Schizosaccharomyces pombe: one gene and its partner. The protein of the gene in region 2 interacts with the protein of the main gene of each other region in a pairwise test. Each region holds a gene or a part of one and is shown on either strand. Other genes may lie near its edges.

The links.
Region 1: the proteins of noc1 (region 2) and ura6 interact in a two-hybrid assay, tested with the Schizosaccharomyces pombe proteins (one large-scale study listed by BioGRID).

What each region holds. Positions count from the first base shown.
Region 1 is NC_003421.2:986,341-990,268, reverse strand, and holds ura6 (uridylate kinase), read right to left. Parts: upstream 1,915-3,928; 5' UTR 1,779-1,914; intron 1,426-1,778; 5' UTR 1,423-1,425; coding exon 847-1,422; 3' UTR 560-846; downstream 1-559. Other genes in the region: P-factor pheromone Map2, read left to right, coding at 3,585-3,928.
Region 2 is NC_003424.3:4,847,806-4,851,733, reverse strand, and holds the start of noc1 (ribosome biogenesis protein Noc1), read left to right. Parts: upstream 1-2,201; 5' UTR 2,202-2,354; coding exon 2,355-3,928. Other genes in the region: mannan polymerase complex subunit Mnn9, read left to right, coding at 413-1,426.

The DNA of each region.
Region 1 (3,928 bases), on a different chromosome or scaffold from region 2:
AAACATCTTCGTTGCGTGCTCGTGAGGAGCGAAGAACGAACGTTCTGCCGAATGTACCAGAAATTCAATCAGTATGGCCTCGTTTGTCGTACCTGATTTTGAAACGCATTCGAGAAGATTTATTTTAGTGCAATGTGTGGCACCTGTTTGTCAGGTAACTCGATTCCGACTAATCTTGTCTGTATGTCTGGTGTGGTTCATCTGTATGGGTATGTATGCCATCGTTAATGGTTGGATAGTCAGAGTAAATAGTTGAGTTGCAGGTAAATCAAGTCCTGCAAATGCCAGTATATTGTTTTGCTAATGTGCTGGTTGGTTATGAAAATTTACGGTTATTTGTTAGCAATGGTAGGAGAAAATTAGGGATTGTTTACCAAAACAACGTGAACAAATAGTTATAGTTTTAATTTAACTCATGAACATATTATCGGAAAAAATCTACTCATTTATGTCTGGGTTTAGCTCCCTTTATGGTTTCGTTTTGCAGTAGAATACACTATGGTATTTATTTTGTGCACTACAAACCGTGCTTTTTATGTGAACGTTTTGATGAAAACGTTCTAGAGATTGATTTATTATTCAATGTTAAAGTAACTCATTTTGCTATATGTATCTTTTTTTCAGCGAACTTTCGTTACTGAGCAGTTCAAGCAGTGATTTGGCATTATGGTATCAATAAAGACATATCATTAAGGCAAGGCTACGGAAAGAAAAAAGAAGGTTTTTAAATTAATATACAACAAATTAACCGTGATCGGACAGTATATTTGATGCAAAGATATAATGAAAGTTGGGAAAATAAGAATATAGCACTCAAATGATTGCCTTACAAAAGCATTGCTTTCTCTACAGGTAAGGTTGAAGTGCCTTTACGGTATCTTCAAAAACCGCATCGGGATCTTGCTCGGCATCGATGGTTATCAGACGATTTTGTGATTTCAGATATTCGACGACAGGCATGCTGGCTTTAGTATATGTAACAAAGCGTTTCTTGATCGACTCAATGTTGTCATCAGAACGGCCACTAGTCTTACCACGATGAATAAGACGCTTCAACATGGTTTCCTGACCACAACGGAAATAAAGAGCAAACTTAGCGGGGCAGACCGACTTTTCAAAACCTTCGCATTGATCCATCTCACGGGGGAAACCGTCAATCAAGAACTTGTCAATTCCTTTATCATGGCATTCCTTCATTTTAGTCTCTAAAAGGGATATAGTTATTTCCATGGGCACAATTTTACCATCTTTGATATATTCTTTAATAAGGTTTCCGTATTTGCTGCCAGGACGATTTTGCTCTTCGCGTAGACAATCTCCAGCGCTAATATGTACGAATTTGTCAAATTTCTCGGCCAAACGATCGCATTGTGTACCCTTTCCAGCACCAGGACCGCCTAAAACAAAAATCACGTTATACATTGTCTACAACACATTAGTAAATTGGGAATGCTGGTTATAAAATAAGGAATGAAATGAGCACACAAGTTCCTTTTTTTTTCTCTTCTCAAATGTTTACGCGTTTGTGTCACAGTCGTAAAAAAAAAAACCTTTTAAAGAATGTAACGATGAAATTACTGTCTCAATAACCAACGCAACCAGAAACACACTAACCCATACCAATAAGGATTTGCAAAATAGGTGAAACACTATTTGAGCGGGTAAAAAAGTGTTGGAGAATTAACTTTTTCATGTTTCTTTCAGCATGAGTCTTCAAAAAGGCATCCGTTTGCACTAAAATGGAAGAGGAAAAAAATTTCGACATTTACGCTACATACCTATTTAATTTATGGTCTGAGTGGAAAAACAGTAAAAAAATAGAAAAGCGCGCTAAAACAAATTAATATACAAGGAGACTTTGTACTGTTGAAGTATATGGAGTCTACTCGTACAATAATACAGTAGTATGTTGTAAGCAACTTTGAACACGAATCTAAACGCAACCAACAACTTAAGATGGAAGAGCCAAAACATATGGATGGGCCGCGGAATAACCGCGGCCCATGCCCTGAGCAGAATAGAAAAAAAAGATTTTTTTTTTCTTTCATAAAATTAAAAAATTCAAGACAATGTATGAATAAGAACCTCTCGATCTAGCATCCAACCTATAAATGAATATCTCTGTTGCATGTTTGCTATATTGAAAATGTCGCTAAGGAGTATCGAGATCCCAGATTAGAGAAGCGTTTACCATGAGTTACAGAATCCTTTTATTACACCAATTCTTAAATCATCTCCAGTCTATAGCCGCAAGTATTGCAAACGTTGGATTTTGCGATCAATGCTTTCCATTTAACGCGCTAAAGCAATTTAACAAATACAATGGTATAGCGCGAAGTCATAATAAAGGAGTAAAATTATATTAAACAGTTTATTAGTATAATGATATGGTTATATGACTTTAGAACGAAAGGAAGCATGTTAACGCCGAAAAGAATTAAAAAAGCTGTAAAGAAGCAGCAGTTTATTCGTTATTTTCACCAATCCTTTTACTAAAACCTTTTCGAAATGTACTCTTATTTTTTGAAGGTATAATGAAAAGGTGGGATTCTCGGAACTAGCACTACTATGGTTTTAGCAAGCCCTGATTCTCATGTTCGAGGGAAAAAAAGCACTAATGGTATCAAACAATTTCCTACTATCATATTACTATCCTTTCCTTGGAAATTAAATGCTAGCAACGGCAATCCTTTGTACTTTCTCCGTGCACAATATCTAGTACACCAAATACTGGCCCACTAGTCGGAGGGGAACGGGTATTTGTTTATTCTCCTCTTTTTTGCGTGCTCCATCTCCTTTGAAGCTCTATTTTAGTTGCTTTGCAGTATCTATATCTGCTACAAGTAGCCAGAGGCGTTCTATGCCTTCAATCTGAAGTTCATTTTTTCATTCTATGGCGGTATGCTATTGGTTGAGTACACACAAAGAACAATGGATAGAGTTTTATTGTTTACATTATCAAAAAACCTTTAACCAATAAAAAAAATAGCCGCTACCAGAAAAAAGTCGCTTAAAATTAATAAGTCTTTTGATTGGTCGCTGTACATAGAAGTTCATTTTGGGTGGACGACAAAAAAATAAGCGAATATCTTCAACCAATCAGGATAAACAGCGATAAAACGAAAACGGGGAAGTCATTAAAAAATGGCGGTTAATGTCAACAATGAACAGTTTGAAAGCATAGAATTCCAGATTTGAATTGAGGGAAACGGAGCACTACAAAGATGTATAAATACAGGCATTCTGTCCCAGAAGAAAACCAGAATTCGTTCAAGTCTTCTATTTTACATATTCACTCTTTCTATTTCTTATTCTTCACTCTACAAGAACTCGCGTTGGGTGTGAATTTACATCCCTCTTGTCAACAAACCTGCTCCGTTAGCTAATTTTCTGTAAATTTGCTTCGATCTTTCTTATTCTAATCTTTTAATCCTTTTTCTTTTGGAATTTTGCCTTTTTAAACTCTCCCTTTTTTTGAATCAGTCAACAAATTATAATTTTCTTCTTTTATTTGCTAGTTCATCGCTTAAACTATCTTTCTTTTTCTAACTTATCAACGAAATTTTATTTTTTTCACATACATTATGAAGATCACCGCTGTCATTGCCCTTTTATTCTCACTTGCTGCTGCCTCACCTATTCCAGTTGCCGATCCTGGTGTGGTTTCAGTTAGCAAGTCATATGCTGATTTCCTTCGTGTTTACCAAAGTTGGAACACTTTTGCTAATCCTGATAGACCCAACTTGAAAAAGCGCGAATTCGAAGCTGCTCCCGCAAAAACTTATGCTGATTTCCTTCGTGCTTATCAAAGTTGGAACACTTTTGTTAATCCTGACAGACCCAATTTGAAAAAGCGTGAGTTTGAAGCTGCCCCAGAGAAGAGTTATGCTGATTTCCTTCGTGCTTACCATAGTTGGAACACTTTTGT
Region 2 (3,928 bases):
GGGTTTATTGGAGGAAATTTTTTATTTTAAAAACAGTTTCTTTTACTCGAAAAAGCGTTTTTAATACTTCTTTCTTTGGCTTTGTTTTTACTCGATAGGGGCAAAACCTGTACAAGCTTGATTCGTGAACGTACGACATAATCCTTTGTTTGTATTAATGCTTAAATTATCTTAAGTATTTATTAACGGGGTATTCACTAGTTGAAATACATTTATATATATAAGGTGTTACTTTCGCGACTACAGCTGTTAGCCGTTGCTTTTTTAAGGAATTCGCATAATTATTTAAGAACTCGATTCTGTTTAGACCCACAAAACAACATCCAGATTCGGGTTGATTTTAATTTTTAACTCTCTATTTTTATTACTCTTATTAAATTGTGCCCTTCCATTTTTATTTATAAACTTTAAGATGCGCGTGTACAATAAATCTAGAATTGTAGGGCAGCTCCTTTTTGTGGCCCTCGGTATTACTTTCATCTATTACCTATTTACTCCATCTGTCAATTCAAATGCCAAAGTTCAGATTGAAAACCGTGGGGGGAATTCTTACGAAATATACGATATGAACAAAATTACGGAATCTTCCGATCCCATTCGTAACAAAGAGGAGGTGTTAATCTTAACTCCTATTGCTCGATTTTATCCACAGTATTGGAAAAATCTTCTTGAGCTTGACTATCCGAGGAATTTAATTTCTTTAGGGTTTATTGTTCCTTCGTCAAAGGACGGTGCAAAAGTTCATCGTGAACTTCGGAATGCTATCAATGCTGTTCAGAAAGGTCCAGGCGATAAGCGTTTTGCCGATGTTAAAATTTTAATCCAAGACTCTGATCTTTCTTCAGGGCAATCAGAGGCCGAACGGCATAAATTTTCTGCCCAGAAGGAGCGTCGGGGAAAGTTAGCTGCTACCAGAAATACATTGCTGTTAAGCACTCTAAAACCTAGTACCTCTTGGGTTTTGTGGCTTGATTCTGACATTGTAGAAACTCCCTCCACGTTAATCCAAGATTTGGCGGAACACAATGAAGACGTGTTGGTAGCTAATTGTTTCCAAAAGCAAGGCGATAAACTAACTCCTTATGACTTCAATAGTTGGGTCGATTCTCAAACCGCGCAGGAGCTTGCAAGTCACATGGACAGGGATGAGATTTTGCTTGAAGGATATGCTGAATTGCCTACTTATCGAATGTTGATGGCTAAAATTTATGAGGAGCACAAAGATCCATCTACAATTATGGCTCTTGACGGTGTAGGCACCACTGCTTTACTGGTGAAGGCAAGTGTTCATAGGGATGGCGCATTATTCCCAACCTTCCCTTTTTACCACCTTATTGAAAGTGAGGGCTTTGCAAAGATGGCTAAGCGTTTAGGTCATGGAGTTTATGGATTACCCTATTATTTAGTGTTCCATCATAATGAGTAGGGGGATGGATTAGGATTGCTTTTTTCATTTGCATGTGCTTTGCATGCATTGTGAACGTTCATGCCGTTTAACCCATATTGGCTAAATCGTTTATTTAAAGAAAAGAAAAAAATCCTTTGTACTTGTAAAGTAAGCAACCACGAGGAGTTAAGCTTTGCATTATCTAATCATGCTCGCTTATGTGTAGACAACCATAAATGTGTTAATTAGGAATCTTCTTAGGATTCTACTGCGTTAGAAGTCTTTTCTCTGTCTTGTTTGCTGGAGCTGTTTCTGCCTTAAAATGCGAAAATGCTGTAACTGGCATGTCTTTCTTTTTTTTCTCTCTCATTAATACTTGCATTTGAAATTTTCCTTTATGGCATATCGGCCATTCGTAACTCATTAACCCAGAGTTGCAGCTCATTGACTGGTGAACACTAATTCATTAACATTCGTTGCAAAAATTTCGCCAATTGCATGATAATCTGGTCTATATTTTATTCTTATAAAACATCTATTATGCTGACAATTGTTAATTTATTTTGCAGTAGTCAAGTCACTGTATGAATATGGTAGCTGGATTTTTTGTATGGTTTTAATGTAGTACAAAATTGAGTATTACTTTTACAAATGTAGCCACTTTAAATTTTTATAATATGTTCTAGTACAAAAACAATATCCCAAAAAGTATTTTCAAAATTTGAATGCTTTCCTTGTTTAGCGTATAACATTAGCGTACGTTATTTTGTTCTGAAGGACTGGTTAGTGTCGCTATTGACTTCTGCCAGTATTCACCCCTCTAAAATTAATTTTAATAATTGTTACAAATAAGGCCCTTTTGATCTTCTGACTGTTATAAAACATTACCCTTTTATTTTTGTTGAATTCCTAGAAGACTGGTTTATCATTTAAGGAAGGAGAACAAAGCAAAAAAAAAATTCGCGAGATGGCAACGTTGTACCCCAAACCAAAACGAGGGCAGAAGATTATTTTTAATGAAGAAGGAGAAGGTACAATTGATACTAAACCTCAGGGGGTCATGTTTGATCCCGGAGTTCCATGGTATAATATTCCTTTGCCAGAATTGCATGAGGATAAAAAGTTTGTAAACGTAGATCATGTCTCTGAATTAGAGACGCGTGGATTATTGCTTTTGAAAGAAGACTCAGAAAGGTTTTCAGAAACTCTGGGACATGGAACAGCTGACAAACGGATGTTACAAACTCTCATTAGTTCTGGTACCACCAGTGATCGTATTTCCGCACTCACCTTACTTGTTCAGGAATCTCCCATACATGCAGTTAAGGCATTGGAAACTTTGCTTTCTATTTGTTCCAAAAAATCTCGTAACGAAGCTACTCAAGCTATTACCACTCTCAAAGACCTTTTTATCGGAGGACTTCTTCCAGACAGAAAGTTAAAGTATATGAAACAGCAATCTTGTTTGGGGTCTAAAAACGTTACAGACAAACATCTTATGGTATGGGCTTTTGAAAGTTTTTTGAAGTCATTTTATTTTAAATACATTCAAATCATTGAAGCTTTGTCTTTTGACGCACTTCTATTTGTAAAAAGTCAAATGGTTTCTACTATCTATGACTTATTGAAGGCTAAACCTGAACAAGAACAAAATTTGCTCAAGTTGTTGATTAATAAACTCGGTGATAAGGAGAATAAAATTGCCTCTAAAGCTTCTTATTCAATTCTCCAGCTCGAAGCTAGTCATCCTGCAATGAAGCTTGTGATTACTAAGGAAATTGAAAGATTCATCTTTGCACCTTCTACAAGCCGTACCAGTTGTTACTACACATTGATAACGTTGAATCAAACTGTTTTGACTCATAAACAAGTCGACGTTGCTAATTTATTAATAGAAATATATTTTGTTTTTTTTACTAAACTCTTGTTTGCTTTAGAGAAGGAAGAGGTTGCTGATGCTCCTACTTTGGAAAAAAAGTCTCTGCAGTCAGATTCAAAAAACAAAAAGTCACAAAAACGAAAGAAGGATGAAGATTTAAGGAAAGAGGCTGAAGAAAACGTTAATTCACGCGTGATATCAGCGGTATTGACAGGCGTCAACCGTGCTTATCCCTTTGCAGAAGTGAATTCTGAAAAATTTGACAAGCACATGAATACCCTATTTGCCATCACCCATACTGCTTCTTTTAATACGTCAGTTCAAGTTTTAATGCTAATTTTTCAAGCATCTGCTAGCCGTGATTTCATTTCGGACCGTTATTATAAAAGCCTTTACGAATCATTACTTGACCCACGTCTAACAACGTCGTCGAAACAGTCTCTTTATCTGAATTTACTTTATAAGTCACTTATTATAGACAACAACATTCCACGTGTTCGAGCATTTATAAAAAGAATGGTTCAGGTCTCAGCGTGGCAGCAACCTCCTTTAGTCACTGGATTATTTCATGTGATGCACCAACTTGTTATCGCCACGACAGCATTGCGTTCTATGTTTACAAATGCTGAAATCCATGACTTTGATGGAGATGAGGAAGAGGT